Linked DNA regions of Rattus norvegicus. The protein of the gene in region 1 purifies or fractionates together with the protein of each later gene. This does not show direct contact. Links are inferred from orthologs where the notes say so. Each region holds a gene or a part of one and is shown in the gene's direction. Other genes may lie near its edges. The genes, in order: Ube3d, Cpsf3 and Dnaaf2.

The links.
Region 2: the proteins of Ube3d (region 1) and Cpsf3 purify together in Homo sapiens (affinity purification with mass spectrometry; 4 studies listed by BioGRID and IntAct, counting the BioPlex papers as one, with this or other methods). This does not show direct contact. The link is inferred for Rattus norvegicus from reciprocal best matches to the Homo sapiens genes UBE3D and CPSF3.
Region 3: the proteins of Ube3d (region 1) and Dnaaf2 purify together in Homo sapiens (affinity purification with mass spectrometry; 4 studies listed by BioGRID and IntAct, counting the BioPlex papers as one, with this or other methods). This does not show direct contact. The link is inferred for Rattus norvegicus from reciprocal best matches to the Homo sapiens genes UBE3D and DNAAF2.

Annotation. Positions count from the first base shown.
Region 1 is NC_086026.1:96,290,156-96,294,366, reverse strand, and holds the start of Ube3d (E3 ubiquitin-protein ligase E3D), read left to right. Parts: upstream 1-1,288; 5' UTR 1,289-1,409; coding exon 1,410-1,486; intron 1,487-4,211. UniProt on the Homo sapiens protein: E3 ubiquitin-protein ligase which accepts ubiquitin from specific E2 ubiquitin-conjugating enzymes, and transfers it to substrates, generally promoting their degradation by the proteasome.
Region 2 is NC_086024.1:46,568,166-46,571,798, forward strand, and holds part of Cpsf3 (cleavage and polyadenylation specificity factor subunit 3), read left to right. Parts: intron 1-742; coding exon of another isoform or gene 743-803; coding exon 804-806; intron 807-2,381; coding exon 2,382-2,479; intron 2,480-3,632; coding exon 3,633-3,633. UniProt on the Homo sapiens protein: Component of the cleavage and polyadenylation specificity factor (CPSF) complex that plays a key role in pre-mRNA 3'-end formation, recognizing the AAUAAA signal sequence and interacting with poly(A) polymerase and other factors to bring about cleavage and poly(A) addition.
Region 3 is NC_086024.1:93,403,471-93,407,702, reverse strand, and holds the start of Dnaaf2 (protein kintoun), read left to right. Parts: upstream 1-1,379; 5' UTR 1,380-1,447; coding exon 1,448-3,253; intron 3,254-4,232. UniProt on the Homo sapiens protein: Required for cytoplasmic pre-assembly of axonemal dyneins, thereby playing a central role in motility in cilia and flagella.

The DNA of each region.
Region 1 (4,211 bases):
TTGAGCCAGGGTCTTGCCACATAGCCTGAAATGGCACTTAATATAAAGCCAAAACTGACCTTGAACTTACAGCAATCCTGCCTCAGCCTCCTAAATGCTGGAATTACAGATATACACCATCATCCTTGGCTTAAACCTATTTAGAAATGCTTCCAGTTTATTTGGTGTAATTATGACTATGAAATGGAACATCGATAAACAGGGTTTCTGTCTTGGCTAGTTTTATGTTAACCTGACACAAGATAGAGTCTTCTGAAAGGGGGGAACCTCCATTGAGAAAATGCTTCCATAAGATCCAACTGTAACTCGTTTTCTTAAATAGTGATTGATCCGGGAGTGGTTAATGGGTGGTGCTTTCGCTGGGTTGGTGATCCTAGGTTCTATAAGAAAGCAGGCTCAGTAAACAGCACCCTTCCATAGCTTCTGTATCAGCTCCTACCTCCAGGTTTCTGCCCTGTTTTGCTTCCTGTTCCGACATCCTTCAATGATATACAGTCATGTGGAAGTGTAAGCTGAATAAACCCTTTCCTCCCCAAGTTTCTTTGGTAACGTTGCTTCACCACAGCAAAAGAAATCTTAGAACTAAGACAATTTCCCTTATACAATCTATCATTTTAAATGACAGCTTTTCATTTTAAAAGATGTCCTACTGAAATTCTATGACCTGATATATTTGTTTAGACCGCACCAGCTCTTTCACCTTATCAAACTTTCAAAACGTATCTTGTAGGAGCAAATAAGTTATGACTTCTTTCACTTCTGCAGTATAGTGGGGATGTATAAAAAAAGAAATTACTTTTTTTTTCTTTTTGCTTATTAAAAGTGAATATGAATGATTAGTCAAGATATTAAGAGTCCACCACTCTCTTTTTATGGCTTCTAGAGACCTCATACATGTTTTTGCAACAGTTGCAGTCTTAGAACTACCATATCTAAAGCGAAATGTAGTGGCCAATCTTTGACATTTCTGACACATTAGACAGAAGCTAATAAAAGTACCATCTGTACAGCCTCTGCTCCGTTATCTACCTCACCCTACCCAAGCAAACCAGAGGAGAGTTTCCTTCTGCCCCAAATCTGAGCTTTCTGCTCATTTTAGGGAGAATAATGCTCATAGTCAAGTCCCTCCATCATCTTCTAGTGGAGGCCAGCTCTGCTCTCTGGGTCCCACCTGTCCTACTAGAGCGCGACTGGGGGGGCGGGGGGGGGCGGGGAGATCGGTGCCTTGGCAGTGCGTACTCTGCCCAAAAGGTGGCGCTCCAGCCGACAGACCGCCACTGCCCGATCCCGCCTGGCCGCCGCGCTGCCTCCGCCAGGAAGCCAGCGGCTTGCCACGGCCGCACGTGCTCCCACCCAGTCCCAGTTCTGGTAACTGCGGGCTCGGTCCCGCGTGGGCCCCTGAGTCGGCCATGGCGGTGGTTGAGGCGGAAACACGCGTGTTCCTGGAAGTGCGGAGACGGCTCCAGAGCGCGCTGCTAATCCTGGGGTAAGGGAGGAGGCACCGGTGCGCGGGACCGCGTGCGTGGGCCGTGAGCGAGACGAGGAGACTGGTGCTCGTGTGCGTGGCACAGGAGCGCGGATGCGCGGGACCGAAGGAGGAGCGAACCGGACAGTAGGCGCGTGCACGGGACGGTGTACGCGTGCGCAGGACGAGATGGTTTGCCTACCAAGCACTTTAGCCACTGAACCATCTCCCCAGCCTGACTGCGGGCTTTTAATTTCATATTTACTACAGAAACAAGAAACTTTTGGGGAACAAAATGCTCCTTTTTGGCTTATGGTCAGCAATTTTAATGATCTGCGATCTCTTCACGGGTTTTGCCGATTTCTTTGTGACAAATGCATCAAATAGAGTTAGATGTGGAAATTTATTACAGAACAGCACAGTTGTATCTTTTTTTTTTTTCTTAGCTTCTCCTCTTTTCCTAAAACCTGACAAACAGCTAACGTGGCAGTTTTGCATATGACCTGAGAACTGGGCTCAGATCCTAGGTTTCTCACGTGGGCAGAATACTTTTATCTGAATTTCTTCAGTTTTAAGATTTGGATTGAGTGTAGGCTCGGTGCAATTCATTTGTGTAGCTTATACAGATCTTGAGTTTCTCCAGTATGGGGAGGAAGGGTGGGGAGGCGTGAAGTCATAAGTTCGAACAAGTATCTGCAATTTCTGTCCAATTTTTTAGGTAAGTAAGGGTACTAACATCAAATACAGCGGCTTAATCCCTCATACAAAACCCATTCTGTAAATGAGTTGAGAAACCTACTTTGCTAGTCTGCTTGTTTGTCTCTCTCTGGTCTTTTGACTCGACTTCTAACACAAGTCAGCTCCCTTCCCCTAGTAACAACCATGGTCTGGTGTCATTCAACCAGTCTACACAGTTTCACTGTTGAACTGTGCTGACGTGTATTAGTCAGGGTTCTCTAGAGTAACAGCATTTATTGAATGAGTCTCCCTATAAATAGGAAGGGGATTTAGAGAAGGACTTACAGCCTGCAGTCCAGCTAATCCAACAGGCTATGAATGAATGGTGAGTCCAAAGATCCAGTAATTGCTCACTCCGTGAGACCCGACTGTCTTCAGGGTCTCATGTCTTCATGCCTCAGCTGGTCTTCGGTGTACTTCAGAATGCCAGCGAGAGCGAGGGCAAGCAGGCAGAGAGCAGACAGACTGCCTCTTCCATGTCCTCTTCCAGCAGAAGTTGTGGCTTATATCTGAGGTGGCTCTTCCCAGCTCAAGAGATCTGGATAAAGGGGTGTCTTCCTACCTCAGAGGGAGGAAGTGAATCTTCCTACTTCGAATTAAGCAGAAATCCCTCACAGTGTGCCCTGCATTTTGGAGTTTTAATTAATTCCTGATGTAGTCAAGCTGACCTAGCCAACTGGATACATCGGTTGTTGTTTTAAACTGCCTTTTCCAATATGCTTTTTGTTGTTGCTTGTTTTTTTTAAGACAGGGTCTAACAATGCATCATGGCTGCCATAAGTGAAGATGTAAACCAGGCTGACCTTGAAGTCATAGAGATCTGCCTGCCTGTGCTTTCACATCACTGGGACCCTCCAACCAGGCTTTGACATTTTTGTTTCATCTCTGTTGTAGCTTAAATGAGTATTCCTTTTCCGTTTCTTACTGAGTAGTTTTCCATTGCCTGAGTATCTCACAAACAATTTTCTTACTTTTCTATTGCTGGATTTTTTTTTCTTTTTTTTTTTTAATTGGATTTTTTTCTTTTTTTTTTTAAATTTACATTTCAAATGTTATTCCCTTTCCCAGTTTCCTTGACATAAGTCCCCTATCCCATCCCCTTCCCCTTCTATAAAGGTGTTCCCCTCCCCATCCACCTTCGTTCCTGTCCTCCCACCCCCCAATTACCTCTACACTGGGGGTCCATCCTTGGCAGGACCAAGGGCTTCTCTTTCCATTGGTGCCCAACAAGACCATCCTCTGCTACATAGGCAGTTGGAGCCATGGGTTAGTCCATGTATAGTCTTTGGGAAGCAGTTTAGTCTGTGGGAGCTCTGGTTGGTTGGCATTGTTGTTCTTATGGGGTTGCAAGCCCCTTCAGGTCTTTCAATCCTTTCTCTAATTCCTCCAATGGGGATCATGTTCTCAGTTCAGTGATTTGCTGCTAGCATTTGCCTCTGTATTTGACATGGTTCTGGTTGTATCTCTCAGGAAAGATCTATATCCAATTCCTGTCAGCATGCACTTCTTAGCTTCATCAGTCTTGGTGGCTGTATATATATGGGCCGCATGTAGGGCAGGCTCTGAATGGCTGTTCCTTCAGTCTCTGCTCCAACCTTTGCCTCGGTATCCCCTCCTATGAATATTTTTGTTCCCCCTTTTAAGGAGGAGTGAAGCATCTGCCTTTTGGTCGTCCTTCTTCTTGAGCTTCATGTGATCTGTGGATTGTATCTATGGTAATTTGAGCTTTTGGGCTAATATCCACTTATCAGTGAGTATATACCATGTGTGTTTTTCTGAGTGTTTTACCTCACTCAGGATGATATTTTCTAGTTCAATTCATTTGCCTATGAATTTCATGAAATCATTGTTTTTGATAGCTGAGTAGTACTCCATTGTGTAGATGTACCACATTTTCTGTATCTGTTCCTCTGTTGAAGGGCATCTGGGTTCTTTCCAGCTTCTGGCTATTATAAATAAGGCTGCTATGAACATAGTGGAACATGTGTCTTTGTTGTATGTTGGAGCA
Region 2 (3,633 bases), on another chromosome or scaffold:
CTCTATGTATCCCTGGCTGTCGTTTAGCTCTCTGTAGGTCAGGCTGGCCCCAGATCCACAGAGCTCTGCCCGCCAGACAACTTTATTCTCTGTGTGTCCCCCAAGTGCTGGGATTACATCCCTATTGTTTCTTATTCTCTTAGTCTGTGGCTAGTCCAGTGGGTAAGGGTCTGTCTCAGCCCCACTCCTCCTAGATCACAAGGTCTTTGAGGTCTGGTCAACATCCTAGGCTGTTAGTACCATGTTTGAGAGTTCATTGTGAGCGAGATTTTGGGGAAAATATCCAAGAAGCTGTTATTTTTTAGCTTAAGATGTGCCTGAAGGGTTAGGGCTAAAACCATGGTGACCAGGCTACATGGTAAGGTGATCTCAGGGTGAAACACTGACATGGCTTTGTTCTGGAAGTGTCACTTGATTGCTTGTTCACGTCTTAAACATCCCACGTCACCTGAAGATCGCTTTTCTCCTTTTTCTACCCCACACTCATCCTCTGTTTGAACCTGTAGAACTGTCCTGTCTTGGGAATTAAGTGACTGCTGTTGTAACTCGGGCAGTTCGTTGTGAAAGAGTTTGAATTTAGTGTGTTGGATGTTACTGGGGTGGAGTGAGACGGGCTGTACTGAACACTGACTTATTTGCCATAGCCCCTAGAGCTGCCATTGTCATTGTGAGCCTCTAAACCAAGCTCTGGGCTGTGTGATTGCTTTTTACTCACTTTAGTTCTCCCCTTGACTATTTGCAGTGGTGCTGGCCAAGAAGTGGGAAGATCATGTATTATTCTGGAGTTCAAAGGAAGGAAAATCATGGTAATTATTATTGCTGTTATTGCTACTGGAAATTGAACTTTGGGCCATGTGCATGCCAAGCGTGTGTTCTAAGCTGAATCACACTCCTAGCCTAGGTAATGATTATTTATACAGTCAAGAAAACAGTGTAGCTCTATCCATACTAACCGTTAGGTCTGTCCTACTGAGCCAGTTATCTCTAGCCCTATCTGAGAGAGATGTATAGAGCGGACACTGTGCGCTGAGAGACTAACACACTTCACTTAGTAATTAAAAGCATCAGGTAACCTAAAAAGATAAAACACTGTAAAACTGCCAGCTGGATCTGCCAGACTGTTGTCTCCTCAAAGTCCTTGTCCATTCCCTTGTCTAGATAACCTGAGGACCCCACTCCTTTGGAAGACCTCAAGGAATTAAGTGCCTTGAATGGGTGTCAACTTGGGCCACGCCACAAGGGGCACCAGTCTGGCTGGCTCTGTCAGGTCCTGAGAGGCTATAGGATCAGGAGCGCTGGTTTCAAAGGTCCCAGGAGAAAGGAGGAACACTGACTCTAGTTCCTTGATTCTCATTTCTTCTTTAGTTCTCTTAGTCTTTCTTTTTTATTTAAGAATTTTTTAAAGATTTATTTATTTATTTTATGTATGTGAATACACTGTAGCTGTATTAAGACACACCAGAAAAGGGCATCGGATCCTATTACAGATGGTTGTGAGCCACCATGTGGAATTGAACTCAGAACCTCTGGAAAAGCCACTGAGCCATCTCTCCAGCCCCTAATTCTCTTAGTCCTAAAAGAACAGGCATGTGTTTACCAGAGTCAACTATTTAAAAAATTATTCTATGTGTTATTTGGTCTGTATATCTGTGCACTGTGTTTGTGCCTGGTGCCTGTGGAGGTCAGGAGATGATATAGACTCCCCTAGAAATACAGTTATAGTTGTGAGCTACCATGTTAGTGGTGGGTGTTGAACCTCCCTCTGGAAGAGTAGACAGTGCTCTTAACCGCTGAGCCATTTCTCCAGCTCCCACCAGTCATTCAGGCATTTTTTAAAAAGGTCTGTTTTATGTATATGAATGTTGTGGCTGTATGTACACCTACACACCAGAAGAGGGCATCAGATCCCATTACAGATGGTTGTGAGCCACCATGTGGTTGCTGGGATTTGAACTCAGGACCTCTGGGAGAGCAGTCGGTGCTCTAACCGCTGAGCCACCTCTCCAGCCTGTAAATGACATTTAAGCATTTGTTAGTGTGGAAGTGACACCTCGTAGGATAAGCTCCCAGCCATCAGCCTGTAGGAAGGTGTGATGGTGCTCTCCCTGGTGGGAGAATTGCTCCAAACCTGCAAACTTGTGTCTGCCGGCTTCTGATAGAAGAGCACTTGAGGAAGAACCCCAGCAAGTCAGTGCTGTCAAACGTGAGCAGTGCCCAAAGAGACGAGCTGCTTCGGGCACATCCTGTTCTTTCCTGAGACTGTTCTGAGTGCACATGTCCTGGGCTCCTCTGAGCGCGGTCCTAGTGTCGGTCTGCTGGATGAGGTTTATCAGATATGTAGCAGGTTGTCATCTGTTTTGTCTGTGTTTTTCCCCCTCCAGCTAGACTGTGGGATCCACCCTGGCCTGGAAGGAATGGATGCTCTTCCTTACATTGACCTCATCGACCCAGCTGAGATCGACCTTCTGTTGATCAGTCAGTAAGTTTCCCTTACTGACCTACTGACCTTTGCTGTGATGATCCGCCTTTCTAGGCTTTGGTGTGGGTTTTTGTTTACATTCTGTGTGTGTGTGTGTGTGTGTGTGTGTCCCATCCGTCCAGCTGTATGTATAGTATGAACATGCACATGCCACAGTGATGTTCATGAGAATCAGAGGTCAGCCTTCCTAGTTGGCCATCCCTTTATCCTCGAGCCATCTTGCTGGTCAGATTTGTTACCTGCTTTTTCTTAATAAACTGGGACTGGTATTGCATGCCTTTAGTCCCAGCACTGAGAGGCAAAGACAGGCAGATCTTTGGGAGTTGAGTTTAAGGCCTGGTCTATTCAGTGAGCTCCAGGTCAATCAGAGCCACATAGTGAGACTGTCTCAAAATTAAAATAAAACGAAAATTTGATAAGAATGAAAGCAAATTTCTAAGTGTAAACCAGCGCCGCTCTGTCTTGAGGCTCAAACCAGGAAGCATCTGTGTGTGACAGTGAGTGCTGGGGGTGTCATGTCCGCTGTGGGCCATCCTCAGGTGTCTCCTCTCACAGGAGCTCCTTGCCACCTTGTCACACTCCTCAGTAAGAGCTTCAGGAGACTGTGGTGCTGCACACCTGCAGTCCTAACACTGAGAAGGCTGAGGCAGGAGGATTGCTGGGTCTGTAGCAAGTGCAGATGGCACAATAAGACTATCTTGAAAAACTTCATTTAAAGATGGCGAAGCTGGACAGTGGCAGTGCACACCTTTAATCCCAGCAGAGGCAGCCCATCTCTGAGTTCGAGGATAGCCAGGGCTGCTCAGAGAAACCCTGCCTCAAAAAACCAAAAAGAGAAAAAAAAACCACGGTGACAAGTTTCAATTGTTACAATTCTGGCTGTCAAGTGTAGATTTGGTTCATGTTCTTTCCCTTCTAATCAGTCACTGATAGAGTGGAGAGGCATTGAGAAGAACAGAGGATGAGGTACTAGCGGCCAGGCCTGACAGGAGTTTGACCCCCAGACTCCATGCTAGAAGAAGAGAGCGGCCATGCCTCCTCGGTCTCCTCACAGCATCCCAGTGTACTTAGCACAGTTTTGTCGGGTGAGCAGGAATTGGAGCAGTGCTGGCCTCTGGTAGCTAAAGCCCTGACGGCCCTGTTTCCTTGTCAGC
Region 3 (4,232 bases), on another chromosome or scaffold:
CAGATGAAGGGCAAGGACAGAAAATTACGAGAATTCAGTACTGAAAATGAGAGAGGAAACCAAGGCAAGGAGTCCATTTCCAGCCCTTTCAAGCTCCATTACTCAAATGGAGACATCCGATGGACAGTTGGACGAGTCTAGAGTTTAGAATGTGAAACAGAAGTTGGTTATTTGAGTTTCATTTACTTGTTTTGGTTTTCCAAGGCAGGGTTTCTTTGTGTAGCCTCGATTTTTCTGGAACTTGCTTCCAGGCTGGCCAGGAACTCAGATCCTCCTGCCTGTGCCTCTGAGTGCTGGGTTAACGGTGTGAGTCACTGCTCTGGCCAAGTATATATATTTAATTTGTGAAAGAGATGGCCTGTCGGAGATGAGATGCCATCCAAGTCTTGGGACACTCTACTTAAAATCGAACAGAGGAAGGCCTGCAGCTTGGGGGAGAGAATGCTTGTCTTGTACGTGTCAAGCCCTGGGTTTGGTTCTGTGACATTCCCTTCCACAAAAAAGGATGAGTTAAGAGAGAAGCCAGGAAAAGCTCTTGTTATTGAAGTAATGCCAGTGTAAACTGCTAAATGCTGCACAGACAAAACCGGTGTGGGACTGACCAGCTATCAGTACATAACCATACTCTGGGATAGCTCAGGGTAGAGCTCATGCCACAGGTGGGACGTCCTGGGTCCCACACCTAGCCCTATAACAAAACAAAGTTTCTATAGTCTGGCGCTAAAACTCCATTATCTAACTACAGTGTCTGCTGCATTAGTTCCTTGTGGAGCACTGTTAGAGACGACAGAATCAATCTAAGGATATGTGGTTTAAAAAAAATAAGTGAAGTTATAATTCTATTCTCAACCCAGGGAAATTGATCAGGACAAAGTCTATAATTTTGCTAAGTGATTTATGAGATCTGACATTTACATTACAAAAAGTGAACACCTTTCCAGTGCTTACTGGGCTCTGGGATCTGCTTGGGGAGTCATTTTTTTGCCCCCAAGGGTTTCTGAGGGACAACTATGAGGTGAAATACCTGAAAATGGAAAGGGCTTAAACATTGGTTCTGCAAAGTGCAAAGAGTCAGATAAAGTTAGGTTTGAGAATTGTAGCCTTGGCTAGAAAACTTCTCACTTGTCTGTGAAATTAAACAGTTAATAAGACACAGCCACAGCGCTGAAAACGAGGACAATTACCATGACAGACTGCAAAACACACGTATCCTGACGCAGTAGTTTAAAGCACGGAACAGGGGAGCCTATTTCTAGCAATTTCCACTAGATCACTGCCCCTCCTCCTGGGTGTTACCATGGCAACAAAGCACGCGCTGCCCTGATAATTCAGCCGTTACCTTTCTGAGCTGGTCAGTTCCTCATGAACCTGACTCTGAAGCGCATCCTAGACACTCGGTTCACGTTGATTCTTCACTGGGTCTGGGTGAGGGGCCGCGTGGGTCACCATGGCCAAGACGGCAGCCTCTTCAGCGCTGGAAGACTTGGATCTGAGCGGAGAGGAGGTGCAACGGCTTACCTCCGCTTTTCAGGACCCAGAGTTCCGCCGAATGTTCTCCGACTACGCCGCGGAGATCACGGACCCTGAGAACCGGAGGCGCTACGAGGAGGAGATCACAGCACTGGAGAGGGAGCGTGGGGTGGAGGTGCGGTTCGTGCACCCTGAGCCGGGCCACGTGCTGCGTACCAGCTTAGACGGGGAGCATCGCTGCTTCGTCAACGTGTGCAGCAACTCACTGGTAGGCGCGCCCAGCAGCCGGCCAGGCCCCGGGCGTGGCGGCACGGCGGCCGGCAGCCACTGGTCCCTGCCCTATAGCCTGGCCCCGGGCCGCCAGTATGCGGGCCGCAACGGTAATCGCTACACCGTCTACGACGTGGTCTTCCACCCGGAAGCGCTTGCGCTGGCCAGGAGCCACGAGCGCTTCCGCGAAATGCTGGACGCCACGGCCCTGGAGGCGGTGGAGCAGCAGTTCGGCGTCAGGCTGGACCGCAGGAACGCCAAGACCCTGAAGATCAAGTACAAGGGGACGCCGGAGGCCGCAGTGCTCCGCACGCCCCTTCCCGAGGGCGTCCGGGCTCAGCCCGAGGGGGAGCTGCCAGGGCTTCTCCCGTACCCACCATACCCGTACCATTACCCCGCGGCTGCGGAGAGCACCGCCCGCTCGCCCGCGTCCCCGGCTCCCAAGGCTGTGCAGCGCCCGGAGCCCACCGAACCGCGCTGCTCCGTGGTGCAGCGCCACCACGTGGACCTCCAGGATTACCGTTGCTCGCGCGACGCGGCCCCAAGCACCGTGCCGCACGAGTTGGTGGTCACCATCGAGCTGCCGCTGCTGCGCTCGGCCGAGCGGGCGGAGCTGGAGGTGAAGGGGAAGCTGCTGTGCCTAGATTCCAGAAACCCCGACTACCGACTGCGGCTCTCGCTGCCGTACCCGGTGGACGACGGCCGCGGCAGGGCACAGTACAATAAGGCGCGGCGGCAGCTGGTAGTCACGCTGCCGGTGGCGCTGGCGGTCGCGCGCCAGGACTTCTCGACGACACCGGAAGGGCCTACGGCCGAGACCGGAACTGACAATATAGCCTGCACTTCCGCGGGCGATCTTGCCGGGGCTCGGGAAGAGTCTGCAGATAGTTCTGGAGCTGACCACGGGAGAAAGAGCTGTGTGGTAGCCCCAGATGCCGGGACTGCAAAAGCTGAAGGGGAGCTCGTTCCCGAGCCGGAGCAGGACTTCGGAGGGGACTCAGTGACACCACTAGGCCCCGGGGAAGGGACAACTCCTGAGAACCGAAGCCTCCTTTATTCTGCTTTCCAGAGCGGCGACGCTGAATCCCTTGCGGAAAGATCGGGAGTGTACGGAGACCTCAGTGTCCAGACTAGTGAGGAACAGGAGGGGACCTGCCACGACACCTCGGGCTCAGACATGGGTGGCCCGGGAACGGAGAGCATCAAACCCTTGTGCCCTCCTTTACAGTGTAATCAGGATGAAGACTCCTTGACTTTGCTCATCCAAGTGCCTGGGATTCAGCCGCAAAGTCTTCACGGGGATCTGAGTCCCTTCAGTTACGAACTGTGCTTCTCCACACAAGACTCAGGTTACTCCTTCACTTTGCAGTTTGCTCCGGAAAATAAGTTGAGTACCAAAGAACCTGCGATTAGCATTTCTTTAAACAATGCTGTCATAGTACTGGCAAAATCTCCAGAGAGCCACGGACTTTGGCGAGAGTGGTATTGGGGCTTGAACAAGGATTCTTTGGAGGTAACCGTTCTCACTATTTGAAATACTCTTATCTTACTATAAACATTTTTGTTACATGGACATAAATATTTTCTATTCGTTCATATAATAGTGCAGGTTAAGCTCATTCGCAAAGCGAAGATTGCACATGTTCTAAAGATGCACTTCAAGTCTTCAGGGTTGTTTTGGGGTCCACCGACTGACTAGAGAAAACTGGATTTTAGTGACTCCTAGACTTCTGGAAACTTATGCAAGAAAATTGAGGGTTCTATCTCTTTTGAGAAAAAGGTTATATCGTTAGTCGTTCTCAAAAGGACTTGTGGTAAAAATTCCCTCCAAAGTGCTCCTATTTTAACTTGGGAAGTCACTTGCTTCCAAGCTTAGAATTTGTGCAAGTAATGATAGATTTCTTCCAGAGAGGAAGTAATTTACGTTCTATGCTGGGGTTGGAGATTGAGCTCAGTGGTAGAGCACCCTTGCTCTAGGCCTTAGTGTCCTTTCCTACATCCCATTTGGCCATTTGAGGCTACTTAACTCAATGAGGGCTTAAATTCAGTAAGGTCGCCCTCTGGTGGGTGCTGTAATTTACAAAGAAAGTTTCCCTCCGTTTGCTTTTAGTTGTCCTTGCCCCTAGTGTTTGACCCAAGGAGCAACTAAATCAGAAACACTTCTGGGCAAACAAACTGACTGGCGAAATGTAGGAGGTTTAGGATATATACGTTTAGTTTTAGGATAAATCTGTTTTGGTTCAGGAGCCTGAGGAAGAAGGATTAGGAGTTCGAGGCCAGTCTGTGTTTTGTAGTGAGACACGGTTCTAAAGAAAATAAAAAGAAAATTGGGAGTAGTGAGACATGTATAATCATTTTATTACTATTAGTGTTTTTATCATAGAGAGACTTGTGGCTTTCAAGGCCAGAATTGTCACTTTACACATAAAAAGTACAAAATACATATTTACACCCTAAATAGTAACTAGGGGACTTCATAAGAGTTTTAGGGC